Xenopus tropicalis: one gene and its partners. The protein of the gene in region 2 purifies or fractionates together with the protein of the main gene of each other region. This does not show direct contact. Links are inferred from orthologs where the notes say so. Each region holds a gene or a part of one and is shown on either strand. Other genes may lie near its edges.

What was found.
Region 1: the proteins of camkv (region 2) and naf1 purify together in Homo sapiens (affinity purification with mass spectrometry; 3 studies listed by BioGRID and IntAct, with this or other methods). This does not show direct contact. The link is inferred for Xenopus tropicalis from reciprocal best matches to the Homo sapiens genes CAMKV and NAF1.
Region 3: the proteins of camkv (region 2) and gpc1 purify together in Homo sapiens (affinity purification with mass spectrometry; 3 studies listed by BioGRID and IntAct, counting the BioPlex papers as one, with this or other methods). This does not show direct contact. The link is inferred for Xenopus tropicalis from reciprocal best matches to the Homo sapiens genes CAMKV and GPC1.
Region 4: the proteins of camkv (region 2) and gpc4 purify together in Homo sapiens (affinity purification with mass spectrometry; 3 studies listed by BioGRID and IntAct, counting the BioPlex papers as one, with this or other methods). This does not show direct contact. The link is inferred for Xenopus tropicalis from reciprocal best matches to the Homo sapiens genes CAMKV and GPC4.
Region 5: the proteins of camkv (region 2) and nolc1 purify together in Homo sapiens (affinity purification with mass spectrometry; 3 studies listed by BioGRID and IntAct, counting the BioPlex papers as one, with this or other methods). This does not show direct contact. The link is inferred for Xenopus tropicalis from reciprocal best matches to the Homo sapiens genes CAMKV and NOLC1.
Region 6: the proteins of camkv (region 2) and cwc22 purify together in Homo sapiens (affinity purification with mass spectrometry; 3 studies listed by BioGRID and IntAct, counting the BioPlex papers as one, with this or other methods). This does not show direct contact. The link is inferred for Xenopus tropicalis from reciprocal best matches to the Homo sapiens genes CAMKV and CWC22.
Region 7: the proteins of camkv (region 2) and pnn purify together in Homo sapiens (affinity purification with mass spectrometry; 3 studies listed by BioGRID and IntAct, counting the BioPlex papers as one, with this or other methods). This does not show direct contact. The link is inferred for Xenopus tropicalis from reciprocal best matches to the Homo sapiens genes CAMKV and PNN.

Annotation. Positions count from the first base shown.
Region 1 is NC_030677.2:51,909,520-51,913,714, forward strand, and holds the start of naf1 (H/ACA ribonucleoprotein complex non-core subunit NAF1), read left to right. Parts: upstream 1-1,395; 5' UTR 1,396-1,401; coding exon 1,402-1,424; intron 1,425-2,549; coding exon 2,550-3,032; intron 3,033-4,195. UniProt on the Homo sapiens protein: RNA-binding protein required for the maturation of box H/ACA snoRNPs complex and ribosome biogenesis.
Region 2 is NC_030680.2:126,516,771-126,520,928, forward strand, and holds the start of camkv (caM kinase-like vesicle-associated protein), read left to right. Parts: upstream 1-1,358; 5' UTR 1,359-1,487; intron 1,488-4,158. UniProt on the Homo sapiens protein: Does not appear to have detectable kinase activity.
Region 3 is NC_030681.2:127,205,484-127,209,518, reverse strand, and holds the start of gpc1 (glypican-1 precursor), read left to right. Parts: upstream 1-1,235; 5' UTR 1,236-1,708; coding exon 1,709-1,874; intron 1,875-4,035. UniProt on the Homo sapiens protein: Cell surface proteoglycan that bears heparan sulfate. Binds, via the heparan sulfate side chains, alpha-4 (V) collagen and participates in Schwann cell myelination.
Region 4 is NC_030684.2:68,008,712-68,012,645, reverse strand, and holds the start of gpc4 (glypican-4), read left to right. Parts: upstream 1-1,134; 5' UTR 1,135-1,433; coding exon 1,434-1,593; intron 1,594-3,934. UniProt on the Homo sapiens protein: Cell surface proteoglycan that bears heparan sulfate. May be involved in the development of kidney tubules and of the central nervous system.
Region 5 is NC_030683.2:44,081,966-44,085,465, reverse strand, and holds part of nolc1 (nucleolar and coiled-body phosphoprotein 1), read left to right. Parts: intron 1-751; coding exon of another isoform or gene 752-937; intron 938-1,161; coding exon of another isoform or gene 1,162-1,326; intron 1,327-1,858; coding exon 1,859-1,999; intron 2,000-2,377; coding exon 2,378-3,109; intron 3,110-3,500. UniProt on the Homo sapiens protein: Nucleolar protein that acts as a regulator of RNA polymerase I by connecting RNA polymerase I with enzymes responsible for ribosomal processing and modification.
Region 6 is NC_030685.2:63,083,775-63,088,023, forward strand, and holds the start of cwc22 (pre-mRNA-splicing factor CWC22 homolog), read left to right. Parts: upstream 1-1,449; 5' UTR 1,450-1,670; coding exon 1,671-1,697; intron 1,698-4,249. UniProt on the Homo sapiens protein: Required for pre-mRNA splicing as component of the spliceosome. As a component of the minor spliceosome, involved in the splicing of U12-type introns in pre-mRNAs. Promotes exon-junction complex (EJC) assembly.
Region 7 is NC_030684.2:104,735,343-104,739,553, reverse strand, and holds the start of pnn (pinin), read left to right. Parts: upstream 1-1,411; 5' UTR 1,412-1,493; coding exon 1,494-1,606; intron 1,607-3,806; coding exon 3,807-3,884; intron 3,885-4,211. Other genes in the region: trappc6b (trafficking protein particle complex subunit 6B), read right to left, coding at 1,117-1,215. UniProt on the Homo sapiens protein: Transcriptional activator binding to the E-box 1 core sequence of the E-cadherin promoter gene; the core-binding sequence is 5'CAGGTG-3'. Capable of reversing CTBP1-mediated transcription repression.

The DNA of each region.
Region 1 (4,195 bases), on a different chromosome or scaffold from region 2:
AGACTTTCCTTGGGCCAGGTTGGAGCTGCAGAGTGCCATTGAGCCCTATGGGAGACTTTCCTTGGGCCGGGTTGGAGCTGCAGAGTGCCATTGAGCCCTATGGGAGACTTTCCTTGGGCCAGGTTGGAGCTGCAGAGTGCCATTGAGCCCTATGGGAGACTTTCCTTGGGCCAGGTTGGAGCTGCAGAGTGCCATTGAGCCCTATGGGAGACTTTCCTTGGGCCGGGTTAGAGCTGCAGAGTGCCATTGAGCCCTATGGGAGACTTTCCTTGGGCCAGGTTGGAGCTGCAGAGTGCCATTGAGCCCTATGGGAGACTTTCCTTGGGCCAGGTTGGAGCTGCAGAGTGCCATTGAGCCCTATGGGAGACTTTCCTTGGGCCGGGTTGGAGCTGCAGAGTGCCATTGAGCCCTATGGGAGACTTTCCTTGGGCCAGGTTGGAGCTGCAGAGTGCCATTGAGCCCTATGGGAGACTTTCCTTGGGCCAGGTTGGAGCTGCAGAGTGCCATTGAGCCCTATGGGAGGCTTTCCTTGGGCCGGGTTGGAGCGGCAGAGTGCCATTGAGTCCTATGGGAGGCTTCAAAATCATGCAAAGTCTGAAAGTTTTGCCCGGAGTTTACGAGCGCTCAATACAAAAAAGTCGCGACAAGATACGAGCAAATCGTAATGGCTACGAAAAAGTCGCGACAATTCGCGGAAGTCGTAATGGTTACGAAAAAGTCGCGACAATTTACGAAAAGTCGTAACGGCGACGAAAAAATTGCAAAAAATACAAAAAAGTCGCAAAATGTTCGTTATCCAATTTGGATTCGTGGGTTAGTAAATCAGCCCCTTGGAACTCCTTCTTTCATGATTAAATTGTGAGAATAGTCTCCAATAACTGAAGGTATTGTTCGTAACCATTATTACTGGTTGGCAACTAAATTACTGGCTGGCAACCAACACGAAAGAAAAGTTATTTCCATATTTTCTGTTCTAACAAAAGTAGCAGTTTCGAGAAGAAAAAAAAACCAGACTGGTAGCAAACCTACTACTGCCACTTTCTAGCAGTTTAGGATTGTCAGTGTATTGCTGAGTTACACAGTGTCTGCACGTCACTCCAACAAGGCTGCGCAGGCGCATTACCGCGCACATGTGTACTTGTGACGCCATCATAGCGCGTCGGGGTTTTCTGTAAGACATGAGGGAAGCAGCGTGTAATTAACAGTTGTGTGGAATGTGTAAGTATGATCTGGGACTGTGGGCTGTAAAAGAAAATTGGAAAAAAAGCGGGACCATTGGGCGGTTTATCATATGAATTGCTGACGAATAGCCAGAGAAGCATTTTGTAGCATAGACCTGCTGCATCGCAGTTAAGATGCAAAAAGCGACCCACATATTCCTGGGGAGCCCGTCTTTTAGGGATGTTAGAAATGCCCGAAAACTGGTCAGGCAGTAATATGTATATATTCCTTTTATGTTTGTCTTAGGAATGCATTTACCACTTTAGTGCGCTATTTAAGCATGTGATAAAATTGCAATGAAAGTATTTTATGGCCAGAGAAAGATTACACGCATTTAAGTTTGAATTATGTAATTACTATAAAGGTGTATGCTTTTGTATCAGTGGATAAAGGCATTGGGTTTGTATTCCATAAATAATACAGGTTCAAATACATTACAGAATCTTTACAGGTATAGGATCTATTATCCAGAATGCTGGACTTTTCCAGATACAGACTCTTTCTGCAGTTTGGATCACCATGCCTTAAGTCTTCTGAAAATCATTTAATCAAGTACAAGCTACTGTTTAATTATTACAGAGAAAAGGGAAATCATTGATCGCCAATAAATTAAAACACTTTAGGTATATTCCACTACCCCCAAATAAACTGTCTGGCTTATTTGCACATTATGTACGCAGCGCTGTACAGTAGAATACATTAATACAAACAGGGGGTTAATAAGATAATAGATAAATACAAAGTATAACAATAAATACAGCAACTTACATATAAGTTAAGAGTCGAGGACACAAGAGGAAGGAGGTCCCTGCCCCGTAGAGCTTACAATCTATATGGGAGGGGTAACTAACAGACACAAATAGACAAATATAAGTGCTGTAGGTCACAGTGGGTGATATTACAGCTTGTGCAAAAATGTACAATACTTTCAATGAAACTTACATATAAACTCCACTGACCCCCAGGTAGGTGGGAAAGCGTTAAACTTAGGACAAACTCAATTGACCCCCAATAAACTGAATGGCTTATTAGCAAATTAATCAATAAAACTCTTTTCAAATTGCTTAATTATAAAGTAACATCAGCTGTTTATATTGCACAAACAAGGAGCACGGCTGAAAATTTGGTACTGGGCACTTGTGCCCATGCATGAATAACTTGTATGGGGCCCCAACTTTTTTTCATATCCACTAGGTGGGATGAATGGATCAGCACGTCAAAAATGTCTGTTGGAAGAACTTTATTATTGTCAAACTTTATTTTTACTGCATTATTAACTATTACTACTGTGGGCTGTAACTGTTTTTGTATATCTTTTTTTTTTTTAGTTTTTTACATGTTGTCATGGAAACACAACGTGGAACTCAGTCAACTGACAGTGTTATAGAGGGCAATCATTTTCCTATTTGTGAACCAGAAATTATGGACAACTGCATATATTCTGTAGTTAATGATGGCTTTGATATTGCCTCACAATCAGCTGAAAAAATACACCAAAATGACAGTTTTTCAAATACTGATGAACAGGAGAAAGTTGTTGCTCCCGAGTTGGAAATATCTGAAGCTGTGGGTACAACTGCCTTGGATCAAAATTCAACATGTCATCAAGACCAAGAAGAACGTATGGAAGTGACTGTTCAGTTGGAAAGCCTTAATTTTAAAAACAATTGCACAGATACCAATAATTCTATGGAGAAGGAAATAGCAGCAGAAATGAGTTGCAAACAAGTCTCTGATGGGGAGAATGATCAAACAGCAGAAGATAATGATGAAACAAAAGAAAACTCTTCTGAGGACTCTAGTTCTGATAGGTAAAAGCTTTGGATTTTATTATGTGCCCTCTAATCATAAGTTCACACTTGAAGACTGTACTGCTGTAACTACCTAACAAGTTGGTGTTCTTATATATAAGAAACCAAACCTTAATTTGCATTTATTAAAAATTAATTTTTATTTTTTATTAACACAAATTAAGGTTTGGTTTCTTATATATAAGAGCGCCAACTCGTTAGGGAGTTAGATATAAATATACACAGGATTAGGTAGAGGAAGGCGGCTCTCTAACTGTATGTTAGCACTGATTTGAACACTTAAATTTTGGCTATTAAGAGCACATGGTGTTATATTGTAATACGTTATCTAGAGCTGCTTCAGTAGATAAGGTATTGTATATTGCCGCGGGTTGGGTAATTTAATATTAATATACACTGTACTGCTGTGTTACTATGAGAAGCATCTTTTTTCCTCACGTACCACCTACATAGTATATGGTTTAAACCTAAATTAAATGTCTTGAATTCCCAGTAAATTATATAAAGATATTTTTTAGAGAATATCTGGGAAACTTTACCCATTGCCAGCTACTGTGAGTGTGCTTTAAAACTGGCAAGAATGACAGATTACTGAAGTTAAATGACATGTAAACCCCAATTGTTTAATTTTCTACTAGATTTTATCTTGCCCTGGAATAGTTAAACTTTAACCTGTAAATGCACTGTTCTTTCAATGCCAAGATGCGATTGCGTGAAACATTTATTCTTCTGTGGGGCTTATTCTGGTTGGCTGACCATAGCATGTTAAGTCCCTGTGCTCTTTAGTAACCGTCTTAAGCCTAGACTGCATCTGCATCTGCATATGAAACTCAAATAAACTTGTCTATATAATCTGGTAAACCTGACTGCACATGTATTAGTTAGAGCTAGTAAAGGCACATCTTTGCTTGGAGTTGAAGAGTTGTTGCTAATTCATGATAATCCTGTCATTTAAAGGAACAGTGACACCAAAAAATGAAAGAGGTTTAAAGTAATAAAAATATAATGCACTGTTGTGTTTGCTACAGTAACACTACTATAATTTATATAATAAGCTGCTGTGTAGCCACGGGGGCAGCCATTCCAGCTGGAAAAAAGGAGAAAAGGCACAGGTTACATAGCAGATAACAGATAAAACACTATTGTATTCTACAGAACTTATC
Region 2 (4,158 bases):
TGTACACAATGCAAATCAGCCACTCTGATCAAACAATTATTTCGGGGTGCCATGGCCTCTCTGGCTCTCCTGCATTTGACACCAATACTGCAACCTATTATGTTAGCCATAAGGGTAAAGACACACAGAGCTACTAGTAGCAGCTACTTGTCATGGCTACAGAAACAGACAATGCTGATCATTTACTAATAATTGTCTCTACATGTGTTTTAGCAGAGGCAATTCTGTGTATTGTCTATGGCAGGGTATTTTCTGGTGTTTAGTAGCAGTGACAAGTAGCTCTGTGTGTCTTCACCCTAAGGACTTTTTATGGTTGGGCTTTCACCTTGGCCTCCTTACTTGACACCAGGGGGTCCTAGAAGTAACCTTTAAGGTCCCCATAAATGGGCCAATTCTAGCTGCCGATCTCGGTCCCTTAGACCGATTTGGCAGCTAATCGGCCCATGTATGGGGACTACCGACGGGCCTGCCCGACCAATATCTGGCCTGAAATCGGGCAGATCTTGATCGGGCAGGTTAGAAAATCTAGTCAGATCGACTGCCCCATTGCCACCAATATAATTTGATCATTTGGCCCCAGGGCCAAACGATCGAATTAGCCTACACGCTCCCAGATATCACCACACATACAGTAGGTGGGGATATTGGGTGAAGAATCGCTCGCTTGGCGATCTAGCCAAGAGAGCAAATCTTAACGTGTATGGGCACCTTTAGGGTGGGACTATTTTTCTGCCTGAATGGATCCTGCACTTCGCTGGTTGCTTTCCTGTTGTAGCTGGGAGCTTGCTTTATATCTCTTATGCAGCCTTCTCTTAGCTGCAAAACCTAAAGCAACAAAAAAGACAAAAGGTTAGCTCTGATTCAAACAGGCAAGCAAGTCAGCATATAAGCCCACATACCTTAATTCTTACTTTTCTGGCTAGCAGAAACCCTTTATTTATGGCTAGTGGCCGGGCATGGGTTGGCTGATACTTGCCACCCTAGCCATGCCTACCTGCCCCCTAGCCATGCCTACCTGCCCCCTAACCATGCCTACCTGCCCCCCTATCCATGCCTACCCTCCCCTCATCCAGCACGCCTGACTCCTGTAAGTATAAATCTAGTCAGTTACCCAGGGCAGGGCTAGGGAACAACACGGAATAAGCGCTATGTAGAGCAGCTGTAGGGATTTGGTACCCACAATCTCCATCACCGTAAGACGCACACTAGAGGGCGGTGCTTAAAGTTTGCCGGTGATGCTATCAGGTGCCCCGCCTCCGCCCTGAGTGGGCGTGTCTGTGTGTCAGTTCCAAGCTGTAAGTTTCACAAGGGGTTTAAGTGGAGGAGACCACATGGAGAACGCAGCATCGCCCTGATCTCTCTGCGATCCGACTCATCTGCCTGCGAGTGGAAAGGAAAGAAAGCCCGGGCTGCTGCTGTGGAACTCAGCATTCGTACTCAATACAGACGCTTTACATTCTTCCAGGAGGAGCCACTACATACTAAAGGTAAGGGAGCTGCTTTGGAAATGGGCAACTTGTGGCCTCCGCTGCTTTTTAACTGAATCTGGCAGTAGCGGCTGTGGTGGGTGTTGTAGTTGCAGTAGAACAACATCAGGAGAGGCTTCATTTATCCATGAAAGCTCTGATGAGTCGAATCTGATGGCACCTTTACCTGCAACTCTGTTGATGATTAACTATTAACCCCCAGTACCATGCCATAATGATACTGAGATCATCACCCCTGTATGTAGCATGTCCATAGTGTAGCATATCTCCTCTCTGCAGCATGTCCATAATGATCCCCAAATTATCACCCCCCCCTTAGTAATGTGCCCATAATAATACACAAGTCCTCTCCCACATCAGTACCATGCCCATAATGATCCCCAAATCATCACCCCCATAGTAATGTGCCCATAATAATACACAAGTCTTCTCCCACATCAGTACCATGCCCATAATGATCCCCAAATCACCACCCCCCATAGCAGGGGTAGGGAACCTTGGCTGAACCCCTGCCCCATAGTAATGTGCCGATAATAATACACAAGTCCTCTCCCACATCAGTACCATGCCCATAATGATCCCCAAATCATCACCCCCCATAGTAATGTGCTGATAATAATACACAAGTCCTCTCCCACATCAGTACCATGCCCATAATGATCCCAGCTCATCACTTTCTTCAGTACCATGCTCATCACTTTCCTTAGTGCCATAATGATCCCAGCTCATCACTCCCCAGTACCAGTCCCATAATGATCCCAGCTCATCACTCACCCAAACCATTCCCATAATGATCCCAGCTCATCACTCCCCCAGTACCATTCCCATAATGATCCTCAACTCATCACTTTTCCTCAGTACCATGCTCATAAGTATCCCCAACTCTTCATTTTCCTGTATATTGTGCCCATAAGGATCCTCAGTCATGTTATGTTATGTTGGCAATGACAGTGGTTGTATGTAGTAGTACTACATATAGATATATGTTAGATTTCTAACTGACCCTGTAAGGGTTAATGCTCCCTGTGCAGAAGGGTATTTTTGTCTCCCCTCCTAACTAGAGATGCTATTTTGGCACAGATTTTTGTCACCTACCAGCAAAGTGTTTCAGACAGATTTGTGAAGGAATTAGGTCTTCTCTCCTGGGGGAGACCTCCGCTCTCCCTTTCCTGGCTAAGTAGCCACTTATTTTCTCCACTGCTTCTGGCAATCTAATTGCCCCTAGCGGCTGTCTGGAAGCCACAAACCCCCTTTGCTCCATTCCTAATAGTTGCCCCTAGTATTAATTCAATTCAGTCTCTGAATATCGTAGGGCAAAGTTCCTTTGAATGTGTGATGCCATTTTTTCCAGCTTATTTTGTTTAATCAAGAATATTTACAAGCAGCCAAATGCTTTCTAGCTGAGCTTTGGCTCCGATAGGTCCCACCTGCCGCCAGCATGTGTGCAGCCTCTCTAACCTGACTTCAATCCCTTTAGTGCCGTAACTGAGCCGCATTGCCTCTCCCAGCATGATGTACAGTCTCTCTGGCAAATATACAGTTGCTCTGTGACACAGAAAGCGGCTCTGCATGCTATTAGTTAACTCTGCATGAGACAAGGCTGCTCTGCGCTCTGCATTGCTCTGTGTGCCTTTGTATCACCCTGGGAGTTTCAAAATTGCTCTGTTTCGTAAAATTTCCCTCGGTGTTTGCTAATTGTCTGGTATATCTCAATCATATTATATATATAATTATTATATAATTATTAAATAATTATGTTGTTTGGTGTGTAAAACATAGCCCGGCATGCTATGTAATGTATCTTCAGGCAATTTATTAGTCTTATCTGTTATCTATGTTAGCTCTCTTATTTACATGCTCACTCTATAATCATTTATTTATAATGTGTGTATGTTCTTCTGTTTCATTGTGATTGCTCTGCATTATATAATATCTGGTTTCCATATGTTGCACTGATCTGGGTGCCACTGTTCTCTACTGCAGAACAAAGTACTTGTGTGTGTAATACACCAGGTATGCCCAATATGTGGCCCTCATAGTGTCCCAGCACCCCCTGCCAACCTGTAGTCCATCAGCATTAGCAGGGCTCCATACATAATATAGTGGTACATAATGGTTTGATACATCAAATTATTCTGCATGCAGTGACATTCTAGAATATATATCTCTGCTTTTGTGCTGAAAGATTTGCCTGCAAGCCATGATATTGATCTGCGTGCATGGTCTATTATTGCACGCCTATTGCCTCTTCCAGGTTATAACAAAAACGGCTCAGAGGGCCACAGTTTATATCATAAAAGTTTTCCCAACAAGCTCCCTTAGTAATAAGGTTTCTGTAAGTACTAGCAGATCACTGGGTATGTCAGAGGATTGGGCTGCAGGGTTTAAGGTTATTTTGAACCACTACTAAGTATGCTTGGATGGGTTGTTATGTATCAAAAAATTGCTCGGCGTTGTATAAGATTGTGATTGTGCTACATTTCTCATCTAAGAAGCTGCCACTCATTCTCCATAATTCCTGGTGTTGGGATTGGAGGGTTATAGAAAACTTTAACAAAATTTATATTGACTTTAAAGCAAACGGTAAAAAGGAGAAGGATAATAGAAGGAGAATAATTTCCCCAAGTGCACAGAGTGTATCTCTTCAACGGCTGAAAAAAAGTTATGTGAG
Region 3 (4,035 bases), on a different chromosome or scaffold from region 2:
TATCATCTATCTATCTATCATCTATCTATCTATCTATCTATCATCTATCATCTATCTATCATCTATCTATCTATCATCTATCTATCTATCTATCTATCTATCTATCTATCATCTATCATCTATCATCTATCTATCATCTATCTATCTATCATCTATCTATCTATCTATCTATCATCTATCTATCATCTATCTATCTATCTATCATCTATCATCTATCTATCATCTATCTATCTATCTATCATCTATCTATCTATCTATCTATCTATCTATCTATCTATCATATATCTATCTATCTATCTATCATCTATCTATCTATCTATCTATCTATCATCTATCTATCATCTATCTATCTATCTATCTATCTATCTATCTATCTGTCTATCTATCATCTATCTATCTATCTATCTATCTATCTATCTATCTATCATCTATCTATCTATCTATCTATCTATCTATCTATCTATCATCTATCTATCTATCTATCATCTATCTATCTATCTATCTATCTATCTATCTATCATCTATCTATCTATCTATGTATCATCTATCAATCTATCTAATCACATATTTCATCCTTTGTACAAATGCACACACCCCAGCAGTCCCCACCCCCGTTTCAGTCTGTCCCAAGCAGCCAATCAGCGTGTGAGTAGAGCGCAGCCTGTGTCTGTGCCTGCTATTGGCTGCGGGCCCATGCTGGGAGTCAGTCCGCACAGGAGTAGCGGGGGAGGCGGCACAGAGCTGCGCTCGGCGAGCATCCCGGTTGCCCATAGCGGTATAAGCCTGACAGCAGGAGAAGCAGGCGGGCACTGTGGGGTCACACGGGGGAGCCCCGGGAATGCTGTCTGCCTAACGTTTCATGCAATAAAGCTGTCAGTGCGACTGGTCCCTGCGATAGTAGCATCTGTGCGAGTGGCTGAGAGCAGCAGGATGGGGATGCGTGTTGCGGCGTGATACAGAGCGTATTGACAGGCGGATCCATTACAAAGGGATCGTTTAGCCCCAATGTTAGAAGGTCAGCAGTTGCACCGAGTCGCTCTCCCCGCCGGCAGGTAGCGGTGCCCCCAGGCATCTCGGTATAAGGACAACACCCAGCAGCTTCCAGCCGACATGAGCAGCTTGTGTGGAGCAGCAATCAGCCTGCACCCCCTGCCGTGTCACTGACAGGCAGCCCCCTCAGCCCCCTCAGCCCGCACTGCTCCCAAGGATCCGACACCGAACCCAGCTCTGCCCCAACCGAACCCAACCCGCTGCCCCAGCTTGCCCCAAGCCTGACAGTGCTGGCCCCAGGCTGAGCCCGGCTGAGTGGCTCCCAGTGACCCTCTGACAGCAGTGCAGGTGGGATCCAATTCAGTTCCAGTACCAGCTTTGCTGCATTGTCCTGCTTTGTGCTTTGTTCTCTTTTGGTCTAAGCCCATTATCTACAGAAGGATCCATACCTTGGGCATGCCCTACCCCAGTTTTGCTGCATCATCTCCATCTAGGGGCTTTTGTGTGCCCCCCCTGACATATGAATGCCCCCCTCAGCGGAGGTGCTAGCCGGTGCCTCTGTTCTTTGCTCTGAGGTGCCACAAGGGACAAAGGATAAGCTGTAAGTTATTGGCTTGACTCCTGGACTGTTTATGTGGCTTCCTCTACCCTTGTGTCTTCTTCAAAACTCTCCTTTCTGTATTTGCTGGGCTCATACGCCAACCCATCCACAAAGGTAATGGAGCGGCTCTGCTGGGGTTGGTGGTGGCATCTTGGCATTTTGTGCCTTATGCACTGGGCAGCTGGAGACACTGGAAGTAAAACCAAAAGCTGCAGTGAGGTGAAGCAGGTGTACCTGGCTAAGGGCTTCAGCCTGAATGGAGCGCCACAATCGGAAATCTCAGGTGAGTTGGTCTGTTAGAGTATGGGCATGACCCAGGGACTTCCCAGAAGGGCATTTCAGCTGAGAGTCTAAACAGATATCTCTGGTCACTTCTTGTAGAGTCTCAGATTATCTTATAAGGCAGGGCAGTTGCTTTATATATCCAGGCTAGATCTAGGGGAAAAGGCAGCCCCTGGCCATGAAGGAAGCCTGCATACCTAACATGAACTACTCTCCTGCAGTGTGGGGTGTTATTCCTGGTGTGTATACTGTAAATACCCCTCAGACAGTTGTTACACAGTTAAATCTGTCCATTCTACTTGTATCTCCATTCTCCCCACAAGGGGCCCCTCGGGAGCCCTGGCTAAATGCTCTTTCCTCCCGGCTCCTGTGATTCAGCAGTGCTGGCTTTCCAGTGAAGCCCCCATAGACACGCAGGTGGGGTAGCGCTGTGTGTGCAAGCGCTGTTGCATATGGGGCTGGAATCTAGCAATGATAATAGTTAGTTTGAATGGGCAAATACCAGCAAGTAGGATGTGTCATGGTAAAGGGGTGCCTTGAGTCAAAAGAAATGAATTGCTGGGCATTAGTTATGTATTGTTGATGTTTCAGATGTCCCTTAGGGACACAGAATCCACAATTGCTTGATCATGCTGAAAATGCTACTAAATTGCTATGGGATTGAACATGCTTTTTGGGGTGCTAGTGGCCTGGATTGTCAGCTCTGCAGGCCACAAATAAATGACTTATTGGCAGAACCAACAATCCTTAATAGCTAAATCAACACTTTATATTTCCCGCTGTTGTTAAGAGATTATTCCTAAAAGGATTTGGGGCTAGTGCTGTTATACAGTGTATGTTTGTAAGGAAATAATAATAAAAAAAACACATACAAGAGTATTGTAGAAATGATACCTATATTGGCTAACAATAAAAATACATTGCAAGTTATCAGAGCTCCGAAAGCTTGCAATGTATTATTGTTAGCCAATATAGGTATCATTTCTACAATACTCTTGTATTTGTGTTTTTTCTTCTTATTTTTGACACTGGCTAACACGGCACTACAGTTTTTATTTAAGGAAATAAAGCATCACCGTATTCAGGGAAGCCAAATACCTCTTGTGCCAAATTCCATAGACACATATAAATGGACTCAGTATTAGGAAAAATGTTTGACTCAGTGCTTTTATTCGTTCTCTCCTCACATACAATATATTAAATCTATATCTCTATGTGTGTGTATTGTAATTGATACCATCTCTGAGTGCCGCTACCTGCACTGTAACTTTATCTTGTCGCTCAGATGTTGCTTGTTGCGCTTCCATGCTCAGGTGTGAATATGTTCTAGGGCACTGCCCAATAGATGTAGCACCCTGCAGGAGTGGATTAGAATGTTATATCCTTTGTACTCTGGGTTCTTGCTACTTACTGTACCCTTTGTACTCTTTGTACTGTGTACATTGTGCGGCACCAGTGTGTTTCCTATAGAAGAGATAATAGACATTTCCTTTGGAAAAGTATTTAGACCCCTCATCAATTATTTCATTACTGAGTAAGAAATACTGTGCAATACTGGCACTCAATGTTAGTTTTCAAATATTAGTGTTCATTTACAAAGGGAATAAAACTGCAGCAAAATACCATGTCTTAGCCCACAGTATTCGCTGTTCCCCCTTGTGCCTAATGCCTGCCATCGGCACAGGGTTCCACAATTTCATATTTTATAGAGCCACCTACTGCAACTATGCCAGCATTAAGGCTTTAGAATGTACTAGCTTTGCACACTATTCAGGAGGGATTTTGGCCCATTCTCCCAGGCATATTTGCCCCAGGCTGTTCAGGTTAGCTGGATAGTAAAATAGCAGATGTGGTTGAAAAACAAAATGTGCACAGGTTTAAAATGCGAGCACAAAAGAAGTGTTATGTGCCCATAGCCGAAAAGGAATTAGTAGGATCAATTTTGATGTGCAAATCCCTATTTTTTTAAATTAAAATGCAGTGTTTTACCCAGAATTCCAGGGTACTGTAATTGCACCCACCTGTAGTGCTGACTGCAAATGGCATACAATGTGGCAATAGGGGAGTGAATCAGCGGTGGCTGTTGAATAGTGCATAAGCTGCGGTGCACAGTATCAGAGATGGCATCATATCCTGCGTGCCCGTGCCCATGGTATCAATAT
Region 4 (3,934 bases), on a different chromosome or scaffold from region 2:
AAATACATTTCAGAAGTAAATAGACTAAAGTTGCAGAGGCATTTGCAAATCAATACTGTGTGTGAGGACAACAAGTACAGGATAGCAGTGCTGAATAATAAGCACCTTTAGTAAGAAGTTTAGGAAATGAGCACTTAAAGGCACATAACACAATATGGTTGCAAGCAATGCAAAAGCAGTTGGGACAGCAAACCAGCAGACTCCCATAGTATTATACCATAATAAAGGACACATTTACTACATCAAAACATATGTTGTACACTTGCTTACCACCAAAATTGACTTTACTTATTGATAAATACAAACTGTGCCTGTACAGTGCAAATACTGTTGCTATACACTTGTATGATGTCCCAGAAAATCTCGCCTGCTGCCATTAGAAAAGATTTTAAAGAACGCAAGGAACCGAAACATGTGAATGAATGCTCATATGGCCTAGTCTAATTACTTTTTATTTTAACTGTATTTAGTGTTTACAGTGCATTCAAAAAGCATTAAAAACTTTTAAAATGCACAAATATCTTATACCTGCATGAAAGCCTTTAAAATGCCTTTTGAGTCTGTATTCCCAATCATCTTTTTTTTCTGGTGGTACACATTGTACCCTAGGGAAGTCAGGCCTAGCTTGGCCCCAGCATGTGCTGAAAGAGAAGGAAAAGTCTGATTTATTTCTTGCAAATAACCAATTCCCTTAAGTATTTCTCATTTCTACATCTGCCAGTATCAAGTGCCCACTCAAAATCTATATCACCCTACTTCTAAAATTGTCACTAAAGTCACTCAACTAATATTTTGTGTAATCTCACAAGTTATTATATTATTTATAATAATACCACTAATAATAACACCCAAGAATGGATATCTTACAGGTAAGACCCTGTGAGCTTATAGCTGGATATCTGCTTGTTCTATTATTTGTAATTGTTCAATTTCAGTTTCCATAGTCTGAGCGTTCTACTACATAGATTATACAGCGTTATATGTGTAATCTTTAAGAAGAATAACAATACCAATCATCTCAATTTCCCAGACTGTTGTGGGCAAACGCAGACGCAAATGTTGAAAAACAGACAGTGCTGCGATTGTGGAGCCGGCAGAGAGAAGCCGCCGCAGGGGTTAACAGCTGGGAGCCCTGAGCTCCGCCCCCTGGCTCTGCATTCCATGCTGGTGCGCCCAGGCTCCGGCTACACATGCGCTCCTTGCTCCAGTTCCTAGACTCTGGCTGGAGGAGGGAGGGGGGACAAGTGAGCAGAGCGCAGCCCTCCGGCCAATCAGTCAGGAGGCGGCAGCAGCAGGGGCAGAACTAGGGGATTCTCAGCACTTTGCAAAGTTCCCCGGACACAGAGCCACCCCCGGGAGCCGGAGTAATCTGTGCGGCCAGTCATCAAGCTCCGTGCCGATCGCATTCATTCCCCTGCAGTGCCTGCCTCACCATGGTCTGGATCTCCTTCTACCCCCTGCTCGCTTGCACTTTAGCGCTATTCAGTCTCCCCGTCGGGGCAGATCTCAAGTCCAAAAGTTGTTCGGAGGTTCGGAGACTGTACATTTCCAAGGGCTTCAACCAGAACGATGCGCCGACCCACGAAATCAATGGTGAGTGACAAAGCGCCGGGGATTTACGGATTTAGCACTTACTCTGTCCGGTCGATCCAACCTGTGGCCTCTGACCATATGGACTACAGCTCCCAGCGTCCCCGACACGCCAAGTCTCCTGGGGCGTACGGGATTTGTAGTTAAACAGCAGCTGGAGGGCCACATGTTGGACCGAGTCGATTTGTTGCCGGAGGGGATAAAAGAAAACATGCGGCTCTGCACGCATAGACATTTGTTGTAATATTGATTAAAATGCTAGTATGATTTACGTTTCGTCTCATTTCTCTGGCTTTATATTGGCTGAGGCTGTCCATTACTTTCACGTTAACTCCTCCGTAGAGTCCAATGCAACACTGCCCCCAGTGGTCACTAATGATTATTTTATGATTTTACCGGCCAGTAACTTCTGAACAAAGCATCATCCGAGCGTGGGAGCAGTCTGGTGACTGTGTATACCGGTGTTTAGCCTTTCTGACTCTTCCCCCCCCACAAGTTATAGCCCTAAGTATTAGCGCATTTACTTTGTGCCACTCTGTCGGGGTAGGAAACAATATGGCAAGGCGGAAAAGGTGAAAGTTAAGCGCCCCCTCCCTGCTCCAGGGGCCAGGTAAGGAGCTGCCTATGCGCTGAGCCCTGGGGGCAGCTCCGCAGTGAATCACACTCAGGAAATCAGACAACTGCCTCTCTGATTTATTGAGGGACTTACTGGCTGACATTCCTGCATGTCCCCACGTGTTCATAAGATTGTAAGCTCTACGGGCAAGGACGTCTGTTAGTGTCTGCTTATGTCCCCTCCCCCACTTTTTATTTCTTGTGCCATAATATTGAATTAACATTGTCTGGTAGGAAAGCACCCTACAGCTTTTGCTGAGTTGCAAATTCCAACTAATCCAGGAAACTGAGGGTTCTTCTGCTATAATGGGAATTGTAATTCATCAGCAGTCAAAGGGCCAGAGGTTGGACTCATATCAGCCTGAGGGGTCCATGGTAGCAAGAAAAGAAAAATGTATCCATAATTTAATGACTGTTGTCTATATGACTTTTTTTCTGTGTAGATGCTTTTTCGTGCCCTGGGGAAGTTGTTTTTTTTTTTTTTTTTTTTGTAAAATTGATTTAGCCTTTTATTTTCAATGGTAACAACTATATTATATGGTCCAGGGATACTCAAGTTGACACTCCCAGCAGTTTTATCCTCTTGAGGATCCTGGGAGTTTTAGTACCTCAGCAGAGGCGATTGTTGAGCAATAAAGCATTTAGTGTTGCTCATGGGATGGGAGACTGAAACCCTGTGAGTGACGTTCTTGCCCCCGACCATTGGCAGGAAGGAGAGACCTGACACCTATTTGTGGGTTTATTAAACAAAGCTGTTCTAGTCCAAGGGCTGTAGATGTAATATTGTCCCTTAAATGAATATGTCAAAGTAAAGGCACAACTCCCTTTTAGCCACCAAGAGTTCAAAAGTCAGCTAATCTGGTGATCTCTGGTTGGGTTCAGAGTCTGACAAATAACCCAGCTGCAGGGTTTCATGCTACATGGTCACTCTCCCATATGGCAAAGGCTTATTTTCTGTTTGTTTTACTGCGTTATTGTTAGACTCGCTCTTAACCCTTTTATCCCCAGCATTCTGTGATCATGGAACTGCTTAGCCTGTGAAGCCCAAATACCTGCCCTATGAATAATAATTTCTTTTTATTTACAAGAGTATTTTTTAGATCATTTTCTAAAGCAGCACTGTATGCATGTCCTGTAAATGCTTAGCGTAAGCAGCACGATATGTTTACATGTTGGGCATGGTGCACTGGGAAAATAGATTTTGTGTCATGATGACACACTGACTTTGTACAAACACATTTTTTTCCTCTTTATTCCAATGTTTTTTCCATTTGCATAAAGCAGCAATCCAGGACCAATGTAACTATATTTTGAGTAACTATATAGCAGATCAACCTGTAATTGTTGGTGCCTTATTGGTCAATGGCACAAGTCTTTATGGAAACTATATTTTCTCTCCTTTCAGCAAGCTAATCTTTCTGGTGGTATTGGTTAGCTTACCCCCTGATATCTCTGTTCCCTTGCCAGAACTCTTCTTATCTATAAAGTAAATCCCAGCAGGAAGTGAGTTGTGTAAGTTTGTTCTTTCTCCTTGGTCTGCAGAAATACATACAGTTTTTATGTTGCACTATTTGATGTGATTGTATTAGTATCCCTAGTCCTCTCTAGTATAAAGCCGACTTACCAATAGAGTTTTATACAAATTTTTGTATAATTATGGCTGTGTGTGTGTTGTCCATCAAACTAGTTTGAAAATTTTCGAGTTGACTTAATAGAGTATTGAAATCAG
Region 5 (3,500 bases), on a different chromosome or scaffold from region 2:
AATTCTTGAAGAGGGTTGGTGGCAAGAGGGACGTATTCTTCTTGGTGGGATCTATAGGAGGATTTTCAGGGCCAAAAATAAAATGTGAGAAACGTTAAGAAATGCAAAAAAACAAATGGGACTTGTCCGTGCTCTAGTTATGTTAAGTATTAAGTAAAAAAACAAAAAAGTTACTTTCAGTTGCATGAAAATCTAGTCACATCTTACTTAATGCAGCTTAAATCACCAGTGTGTCAACTATGTTGTGTCAACAACTATGTACTTCTTCAAACCTAGAGCATGGAAGCCAGAAAAACTGTTTGCTTTAGATAATGGTGGCTACACCTAGCACTTTTTTAAAACCGTATCTTTTGTAAATATGTTATCTATTATTGAGAGACCCTGAAATAATGCAGTTCCATCTCCCATACAAAAATCCTTATTTTTAAATGCTAAAATTGTTAATTTTGTGTAAATAATTTAGTAAGATACAGGGCAAGCTCAGTAATGCACTAAGGCATTATGCCTGACCCTTAATATTTCTGCATCAATATTGTAGTAAACTGGTGTAAATGCGAAGGCCCAGTTGCAAAAATAATGATTAAGGCAATTACAGCTATATTGCAAGTATTCTCTAAAGGTGAACTTCCCTTTTAATCTTTCTTGAATATTTAATGCATAAATTAGGTCCCAAATCTGACTTCTATCACATGTAGTTCTTTTAAACGTTGTTTGCTTCATTGTTTGACATGTTATCTTCCACACGATGTAGACTCTAGCAGTGATGAAGAGACTACACCTAAACCTTCCACAAAAATTACTCCTGCAAAGAGTGCTGCTACACCAACTTCCAAAACACCCACAACTAGCAAAGCAACACCAACATCAAAGACCTTGCCTGCAAAACAAGGAACCCCCAAAACTTCCAAAAAGGATTCAAGCTCCTCAGACAGCAGTGGTAAGTGGAAAAACAGGTATATAATAGAAGCTTGCATACTTTATAGAATGAAAACAGGGGAGTTAAAAGGAAACCTTTCAAATTGTAGTCATGCTGGGGTTTATTTAATAAAACCTTAAGGCCAAGCTTTGTGTGGTAGGTGGCATATAGGAGGTATTTTGTCAGCATTGTACCAAATGTACAGTAACAGGCATGCTAAACTTTAACTATGTAATTAACTTAAGACTCAAGCAGTGATGAAGATGAGAAGAAAACCCCTGCCAAACCTGCTGCTAAAACCACTCCTGCCAAGCCTGCTGCTAAAACCACTCCTGCCAAGCCTGCTGCTAAAACCACCCCAGGCAAGAAAGCTCCAACTAAGAAAGAATCCAGTTCTTCAGATAGCTCAGGTATCTGCACTCTCAGTTAAAATTGAGAATGTTTAAATTATATAGGTTCTGAAATGGTTATTTTTACAGTTAAGGAGCCCAGTGTTCCTGACCTCTTATTAGTATTTTTATATAACAGGGATATTTTATTCAGAATAAAGCATTCTGTTATGACATGTTTAGTAAAGCAGCCAGTGTTTCATAGACCTTCCAGCTGTTGAGGAGTTAAATTTGAGTAGTTAATCAAGATAATTCATCTGCATAAACTACTCTGTATAACTGCCTTATTCTTTCCATATAGTTCAGTATTGCCTGCTTGGAACTTAGCATTTTTGAGAATGACCATGAAATATGTATCCATAACTATTTTAAGGCAATTTTTTAAGGATGGTAACCCATCAGTTGTGTTTGCGATTTACAGTAGTCTTTAAAAAGACACACGTCTGGAATGATTGGTATTTGCAATCTTACTATGTCCTAATAGATTTCTTTAACTTTGCTGCAGTGACCATTTTAGCCTGATCTTACCCTTATGGGATCTTATTTTGTGTAGATTCCAGCAGTGAAGATGAAAAGAAATCCTCTGCAAAGCCAGGAGTTAAGACTACACATGGGAAAGCTGCTTCCAAGACAGATGCTTCTGCTGCTGCAAAGTCTGTTCCTGCAAAGAAGGCTTCCAGCTCTTCAGACTCTGGTATGGCTTGGTTTTGTCTGAGTGGGTTGTTTGCAGTGGGAATGTATAAGTCCAAGTGTGCTCTATAGGCAGATGTATAAGTCCAAGTGTGCTCTATAGGCAGTGGGAATATATAAGTCCAAGTGTGCTCTATAGGCAGATTATAGGTAAGGTTCTTAAAGGAAAATTAATTCTAAGTAATACAGGTATCTGTTATTCAGAGCCAAAATAGTGGTATGTTGTTTAAATAAACGATTCTTATTTAATAATTTGCTTTTCATTTAAGTAAAACAATCTTGCACTCGTATACATGTACTATGCTAGGAATTATTTACCTTGTTTTGTGCAGCAGCAGCATCTGTTTATCAGTTTAACATGTTGTTCTATAATGTCTTTTAGACTCTGATAGCTCAGAAGAGGAGACCACGAAAACTACTAAGCCACTTAATAAGCCGTCCCCAGCAGTAAAGTCTCTGCCTTCCAAGAAAGCAGAAAGCAGCTCTGACAGCAGTTCCAGTGATTCAGATTCTAAGAAGAAAACAAAACCCGCAAAGCCACCAGCCAAAGCTACAACACCAGTTACCCCCAAGGTCCAAGTTCAAAACAAAAAACCTTCTAAGGCTAACAGCACTGATTCAAGCAGCGAAGAGGAGGGGAAAAGCAAGCAAACTACTGGGAAATCCCCAGCTGCTAAGGCTACTGTTCCTCCAAAGAAGAGCCCAGTGGCTGTTAATAAGGCAAAGGCCAGCAGCAGCTCCTCATCAGACAGTTCCAGCGATGACGAAAAACAAAAACCTAAACAACCACCAGCAGCAAAGGATGTGAAGCAAGGAGCAAAGGCCACAAAGCCAGCTCCAAAGAAAGCTGCAGATAGCAGTTCTGAAGACAGTAGCTCAGAAGATGATGACTTAAAGGCTACAAAAACAAATACTGCTATTTCTAAATCCCCAGTTACTCCCAAAGCAAAACCTGCTCCTAAAAAAGAAAGCAGCAGTGAGAGTTCTGATTCTGAAGATGAAAAGCAAAAAGGAAAGAATATCTCTACTCCCAAAACAGCAAATTCCACTCCTAAAGCAGCTGCTGAGAGTTCTGAGGAAAGTTCTTCCAGTGAGGATGAAGAAAAAGCTAACGGTATGGTTTATATTTTGCAGCATTAAATTCTTTAGAAATTGTGTTCATTTGCACATGCAGTTGTTCTTTGCCAAATGGAGAAGTTCCATCTGAAATGCTGTCAGGGGAACACTGGAGACATGTCCAAAGTAACACCAGTTATCACTTATAAAAGGTTCACCGATATGACAGGTTATCAAATATACTGGCTCTCGACAGGAGTATGGTATGTGTCAGTTCAGCACATCAGCTGATCCCTTACTAAACTGATAGGGTTCACTGCCACCCACCCATATCTGGTGCTGCTAGGTAGCTCCTAACCCAGAACATGAGATAGGGCTGCACTGGGTGACCCTAGCCTAACGTAAAAGGAAACCTTGGGGATATTTGCCAAATACATTCCATTTGTCAT
Region 6 (4,249 bases), on a different chromosome or scaffold from region 2:
TCCAACTTGGCCAAAAGAAAGTCACGATACCCAAGCTTGAATGAATTCCGAAATGTTTGTAATCATTGCGAAAAATATGACTTTTGCATAAAAATTTATGCAAAACCCGAATAAGTCGCGTAATTGTACCGATATTTTCGTGGTCATTACAAAAAGTTCTAAACTTTACAACAATACAAATTTTTTTGCAATCGTGGTCATCGTGCTTCGATAAATGTGCCCCTATGGGGCTGATTCATCAAAGCATGAGTTCAAATCTCGAAATGGGTATAATTCAGATTAGATACAATAATTTCTCATGATCGGAAATGTCACGAAAATGCTTACGAAAAAATCGTATTAGTCACGATAATATTGTATCGGCGATCCGAAAGTGACTAAATTTTCATATCCGAATGATTGTAAATGGCTTTGATCCTTCTGTGCATGATTTTGGAAGCCTCTCATAGGACTCAATGGCACTCTGCAGCTCCAACCTGGCCCAAGGAAAGCCTCCCATAGGGCTCAATGGCACTCTGCAGCTCCAACCTGGCCTAAGGAAAGCCTCCCATAGGGCTCAATGGCACTCTGCAGCTCCAACCTGGCCCAAGGAAAGTCTCCCATAGGGCTCAATGGCACTCTGCAGCTCCAACCTGGCCCAAGGAAAGTCTCCCATAGGGCTCAATGGCACTCTGCAGCTCCAACCCGGCCCAAGGAAAGTCTCCCATAGGGCTCAATGGCACTCTGCAGCTCCAACCCGGCCCAAGGAAAGTCTCCCATAGGGCTCAATGGCACTCTGCAGCTCCAACCCGGCCCAAGGAAAGTCTCCCATAGGGCTTAATGGCACTCTGCAGCTCCAACCTGGCCCAAGGAAAGTCATGATACCGAAGCTTGAATGAATCCGAAACTTTCGTACTCGTTACGACAAATACGATTTTGTGGCACAAATTGTTGCAAAGTACGAAAAAGTCGCAAAAAATACGCGCAGTACAAAAACTATTCGGAAGCAATCGTACTTTGATAAATGTACCCGTGTGTGTTTCACATCATGTTACAGAAGCCCTAAAAAAAAAGTGTGTATGATGTGGAAAGTGTCCGTTCCTTGGTGACAGGCTGCCGTCAGTAATCAGACTACTATTTAGCAGGGCCCTCACCCCAGGGAATTTCCTGCACCAAGTAAAATAGAAACTCAACAAAGAATGGACATGAAAATACTGCAGTTACCACTTATTTTTTAACAATGGGTATTGGAAAGAGCTTTCTCTTATTAAACAAAAAATATTTAGCGGTTTAAAGTCCCTTTAATTTTAAATACACTGGTACCTAGGAAGAAGGGCCTATTTGTGTAAATGATTAAATGTAAAGGACTGCAATATAGCTACACCGCTTATTACAGCCAACGCTGCTATTTTAGCTTCTCCTTGCGACTCTTAGTCCCGTTTGTCCTGTCTCGGCTCCCGTACATATCACTGTGCGCTGGCTAGAATAGAGAATGCTGGGAAACCGGAAGTGTATTATGTCGTGCAGTGTGAGCGGTATTGTAAATAGAACACTGTGCGTTTAATCCAATAAGCGGGATTGTTCTTTATGTAATTTGATTTGGGTGGCGGTGACCAACAAGCGGTTGTTTATTCTAAGTCTTTACATTTTCCGATCTCCCCGAGAAGCTTTGGAGGGGGCAGCTTGGTATCATGAAGAGTAGCGTGGCCCAAGTCAAAGTAAGTTTTCTGCTTACATTTACCTTATGGTTACAGAGTGGCTTTATCCTGGACTTTCAGCTTGAGATCCTATAGCGAATGGAAAATTACAACTTGCAGTAACCTCTAACGCTGAGGATCAAGGGAGCTATAGTTCAGCAACTTATGTGGGGCACTCAGCCCAATGCCTTGAGGGTCATAACATTTGAGTTCGGGATATTTAGTCCAAACTATGCCGGAACTAAATTCCCAGAGGATCATTATCTTCCTTATGACAGGGAACTGGTTGACGTCTCTACAGTTAATAAAGGTGGAAAAATTGTATAAAAAAAAAGACAGAGGGGGGGGGGGTCAAAGCTCCATGTTTTTTTTCTGCCCACAGTGCCCCATGCCATTAATGTATTATTTACTTATATAGCACAGGCATTCCTCTGCGCTTGACATATAATGCAGTATTCACATTAGTCACTGCCCCAGAGAAGCTTACAATCTAAGGTCCCTATCAATTCATGCCTAATAATTTTATCGAGACCCCGTTAACCTGCTGTATGTTCTTGGAGTGTGGGAGGGAACCAAACTACCCATGCATAAACGGGGAAACATTTTATTTATTACCCAAGTAAGTCCCTTTACAGAGCACTTACTCCCCAGGGTTTCTTCTCTCTGCATAAATCTAGCGCTTGCAGAGCGGGTCCTGATGCAGGCAGTGCCTCCTGACACACCATACATTATGCCTCTGATTGACATTAAAGGAGAATGCAAGTCAAAATTTAAAAAGCATACTGCCCAGTAGTCCTATTGTTTAGTAAAAACGCCACACTTTTGGCTCACCTAATCAAATATTTACTTGGTTACACTTACTCATATTTTCTAGAACAGGCAGCCATCCCTATTTCCCCTTCCTTTCCCTCCTTGCATCATACTGCACATGTGTTTCATTCCCTCCCCCCCCCCGGCAGATCCACTTCTGATTGGCTGGTGGGCATGTGTAGCTCAGAACAGGAGACAGGATCAAGTTACACACATGCTCAGAGAATAGGAAGGCTGCCGCTGGCACCTACAGGAAGGGGAGAGAGATTTTAGTGATGTCACTATAGTCTTCACACTGCTGTAGGCTGCCGAATCCCAAAATACTGGCATCCCTAGTAAAGGCTAAATGACTCTGAAACCACAGAAAATCAACAATGTGTATCACTTTCATTGTATACTTCATCTTGGGAGTTAATTTAAGGGCCTTTAAGTCAGAGCAGGATGTTCTATGTGACTTGCCAGCTTTTGTTGAGTTACACCTGCCAGCAGCAGCAGCAGATTCTGGTTTCAAAAACTGCTGGGCCTTGTGTTAGAGATTATTTATTATGAGTTTGTTTACACAGGGAAGTTTGTCATACAACAGCAGCCTGCAGCTTTTACAAGAGGCACCAGGCAAGCACAGTATTCAAATGTAATACTAAGCAACGTTCCAATATACATTCATTAAAATGTGTCAGTGATGTTACTGTTTTTATGTAAATGTATTTGCTATTAAAATCAGTAACTGTTTGGCTGGTGCATCCTATTCACTCCTGGCTCTGACTCCCAAAACAATGTTGCAAGCCACCTGATTTACAGAACTGAAGGAGACCTGACAAATTGTTATAAGAGTCAGAAAACAGAAAGAGGTAAAAAACTTGCTTCTTGCTTCCTTTCCAAATAACGTTTTAATGATAAAACCCATGAAAATGATACATTTATGCTTCAATGTTGCCTGTTATTGCATTTTCTTAGTGCAAAAAATGATACTTTTTGGCTGGAGATAACTCTGGTCAGGTTATCTGCCATTTTCTGGAATAAAAATGGCAAATACATCGGTCACAAACAGATATATGTATTTAGAATCTTGACGTAATATAAAATATACAGGTATTGAAGAGCAGGGCCACTATTGGAGAGTGTAGGGATTCTGTAGATGAAGACCCGAGATAGAAAGAAGCAATCTATAGCTCACAAAAAGAGTAGAAGTTTATAACTAGTTGGCAGGCTTTGGGACAGACTAGTGGCTTGGCTGTGCATGTGAAGGGATTCTCTTCTACTCCCTGAGCAATAGACAGAAGGGCAGACACAAGTTATATGCACAGAGATACCCCTTGAATTTGGTGGTTGCAGCAGAACAACATCTGATGTACAGGTATGGGACCCTTTTATCCAGAATGCTCAGGATCTGGGGTTTTCTTGATAAAGGATATTTCTGTAATTTGGATCTCCATACCCTTAAAGGGGAAGTAAGCCTTTTATCTTAAAAGCCCCTAAAATGACTTTGTCTGTTGCAGACTCTGTATCACAAACAGCTCAACCTCAGCTCTCTCAGATACTTCCTAATCTTAGGTTGAGCTTCTTGTGATACAGAATCTGCATCGGACTGAGTGCAGAAAGAAAGGGATGTTATACTGGGGCTGTATAGAGTCTTATTTAGAGAGAGAGGGGGAAAAAAAAGGTTTACTTATTTTTTGTATGCTAATAATCATTTAAATGTTAAATAAACGCAATAGGATTGTTTTGCCTCCAATAAGGGGTAATTATATCTTAGGTGGAATCAA
Region 7 (4,211 bases), on a different chromosome or scaffold from region 2:
AATGGCATACACATAGCTTAGGTTTTCTGAAATTCGCCCAAAGTTTTCTTGTGAGGAACTTCACCGACTTCATAAAACCAAAGTGACCGTATGCCATCCCACCAGTGATTTACATTCCTGTCAGTAGAATGGCATTTCAGGGAGATAAGTCACCTCTGGCAGTAAAGATTTATGGCGGCGACTAATCGTGCCGTTTGCCACCTCCCTTACTTATATAAACTGTAGGGCAGATGACACAAGGAGATTAGTGCCCCCCAATTAGCCTCCTCTAGCAGTGGCAACTAATCTCCTCTACCTTGCTTTTCTACCAGCAAGGGTGTAAATCGCCGCTAGGAAAATATAGGTGCTGCTTTTTTTTTTCCAGGGGGGACTGTGTGTTAGCACCCTAGATTTCCTGAAGCAAACACACATTTTTTACCTGAGAGTAATCTATTACACAGTAAGTTTCCAATAAAAAAAAACTTCTTTAACATTGAAGCTTGCATTTGCACATGAGTCAGCTGACAGGTTCCACCACAGGAACACATAGGGGTATATTTATCATGCTGTGTAAAAAATGGAGTGAAACATCACCGGTGATGATGCCCAGGGCAATCAGAAATTAGATTTCAACAGTTAGAAAACCAAAGCAAAGCATCTGATTGGCTGCTATGAGCAACATCACTTTTAATGCTTTACTCCACTTTTTACACAGCATGATAAATATACCCCTATAGACTTTTACAATTGTATGTTTTCTAATGGACAAAAGGCAGAGCAAAACGCTGACAATTTCTTATCAGAAAGTTAGTTCAGGTGATTTCTGTGCTGTCTGGCACCATTTATAGTAGCTCTGAGGCACAGCCATACTGGCATTTGGTGGATTTTGCTACTTTAAGATGCCATTAGCAGTCACTATTTAATGGGTCTATGGAGGCTGATAAGGGCTCTGTGTACTTCAAATACCAAAGCCTATACTGAATCACAGGGAGTTGTGGTCCAAACCAGCTAGAAGTCCAGTAAGGGGCACCTACTCGTATGTTCTGCTTTGCTGTACGTTGCAATTATGGTGAATGCTGTCAGCCCCTGTGCAGCCACTCCCCATACATACCCCTTTCTAATTCGACACTGACTTACCGCATCCCCCTGGTCACCGCCGGCTTTATACACACAGGATATAACCTCATTGTGCAGAAGCAAAAAGAGGGCTTCATCAGCCATATCCTGCTTGTTCATGCCTACAGCAATCTCTATCTCTGATTGGGCGAAGATTCGGGGTGGAAAAAAAAACAGCAAATTACTATTGGTTCCAGGGCAAATCTCTGACAGCAAAGCCCATTGCACGACTCTTCCCTGTAATTAGTTAACATTATCGCCCCGCCCCCTTCCCCCCACGGGTCCGCAATGTTACGTTCCACTTCCGCTTTAGGACTTTCAGTGCGCTGGCTGCTGGCTCTTGATTAGTTTGTTCAACGACCCGGAAGTGATTGAGACGCGCGATTAGGGCGGAGAAAATGGCGGTGGCTGTGCGAACTCTGCAAGAGCAGTTGGAAAAAGCAAAAGAGAGCCTAAAAAATGTCGACGAAAACATACGGAAATTGACTGGCCGGGACCCGAATGAGACTAGGTGGGTTCCAGGATTAATGCATGTGTTGTGGTATTAAGGTTCCGCTCTGGTTCCTGGTTGGGTTGCGCCGCATGGCAGGCATGGTGTATGAAGCATTATACAGGCCACTGCCCTCATACAAACTTCCAGAAGGGCCTGCGTGCAGGCGATATCGGCCTTAGGCTGCAGCTAATTCGTGAGAATACGCAAGGCTGATGGGCTTCTTTATCATTTGTGCAAACTCGCAGGCCGTGCTGCAGCATTGTGTTTAATGAATGGTTCTGCCTGTGTAGCCCTGTGTGGCTTACATAGTGCTTATTAGGCAGTGAATGGGCTTTAACGCTGAGGCAATCATCTGCGGACGCGGGGAAACTATGTTTTTGTTGCGGAACTATTTTATTTTACTACAGTATTTTACACATATTACAACAAAGGGCTCCAATCCCTATTTCCCTTTCTAAATTGATTGTGCCGAGACCAGGCTTCCCTATACAGATATAAAAGCAAATGTGTCTATATATAGCTATGGGACTTGTGGTACTACATTTAAATTGCAGCCCAGCCTATCAGGCATCTGCACTTCCTCCCAACTGTTTGTTTATACAGTAGTAGTGTTTGTAAAGCAGACTGCAGTGGAGCCATGGTGGCAGCCGCTCAAGTTGAACAAGGCAAAAGGGCTCCTACAGCAGATCAATAAACTTTGTAGAGTACAATGAGTGCAGTTCTTACACAAGTAGAAAAATAAGGGGTCAAATGCCTTTCATGGCATTAAACAATACTATAGAATTAAAGGGGCAGTTTACATTTAAATTAACATTTGGTATAGTAGGCATTTATATTCTGAGACAATTTGCAATAGGTTTTCATTTGTTGTGGCTTTTCAATTAGAGCTTTTTGTTCAGATATGTGGTTACTGGGGTCTTATTTACCTTAGCAACCAGGCTACTTCTGGGGCCAGTGGACACCCCCCCCCCCCCCCCACTGGAAATAAGCAGAAGAGTAAGGCAAGTAATTAAAATCTGTTTAAAAGTTGCTAAGAATAGGACATTCTATAACATACTAAAAGTTAGGGTAAAGATAGTGCTTAAAACCCTTCTCACATACAATAGGGTAATTTGTTGCCAAGTAATAGTTTTCAGATCAAACGTTGAATGTATAAAAATATTTTTACTTTTTGATGTTACTGGCCCTTTAAAGGAACAGTAACACCAAAAAATAAAAGAGCTTTAAAGTAATAAATATATAATGCACTGTTGCCCTGCACTGGTAAATCTGGTGTGTTTGCTACAGTAACACTACTATAATTTATTTAATAAGCTGCTGTGTAGCCACGGGGGCAGCCATTCAAGCTGGAAAAAAGGAGAAAAGGCACAGGTTACATAGCAGATAACAGATAAGTTCTGTAGAATACAATAGTGTTTTATCTGTTATCTGCTATGTGCCTGTGCCTTTTCTCCTTTGAATGGCTGCCCCCATGGCTACATAGCAGCTTATTTATATAAACTATAGCAGACTTTCTGAAGTAAACACACAATGTTTACCAGTGCAGGGCAGCAGCACATTATATTTTAGTTACTTTTATACACTTTCATTTTTTGGTGTTACTGTTCCTTTAAACAAAAGCACATATGTGAACTGGCTGTTTTGTGTAGGATCCTAACTAGGTTTCTGTTATACATATGACACAAATATGATGGGTCTTCATAGTGGTTACCTTGCATTCTCTAGCACCTCAGATCTTGGGTCTTTTATATTTGTGTCTCAAACAGATTTTCAGTGTGTTGTTTTTGTTGAGCATTAAGAGCAAGTGTCAGACTTTGCTAGAATCACTTTTTTTTTTTTTTTTGACAATTGCTGAACATCAGCTACTTTGGAAGAAGCATGTGTAGACAGCAATAATATAAAATATTATTTGTGCCAGTTTGTTAATGTGGATCCACCTCTGGAAGGGAAAGGAAATCTTTCTGCAATGCAAATGCTGATATTCAGCTCTTAGTGATGCAAATAATAATTTAGAAATGTTAATTGTGTATTATACACTGGGTATACTTACATGTTTTTAGCATCCTGCTTTTTTCTTACTATCTCTGGTAAGTTAGTTTCACTTTCTTTGGCTGCTGATCGTATACCTTTCAACTCTACGTTTATAGTAATAATCCTTTTATTGATTGGTGCATACATTTTCTGTGAAAACTGAATCAGTGTTCCTAATTTGTTTCAGGCCTGCACAAGCAAGACGACTGTCCCTCACAGGTCCTAATGTAGTTGGAGGTAGAGGCCGCGGTGGGATTTTACTAAGGTATGAAACTCATTGACATATTTAAAATCGTTGTTTATTACTTAAGTGAACTGTTTGTTGTGCCTGTTCCAGTTTGCCATTTTGAATATTCACAGTAAAGATTTGTGCACTTCTGTTGTACTTAGATGCTTAGCCTATCAGGTCATGGTAACATTACTGGGGGCCAAGTTGTTAGGCGCACCCCCTTTGAAAAAGATGAGCACCGGAACGTGGTAACAGGTTACAGACTAGAATCACTGGTTATACCTAAGCGCCCCACCCCCCACTTGTCAGTATACACCCCTTTTTAACATTAACTGAATGAATATGACTTGAGCTTGAACATAC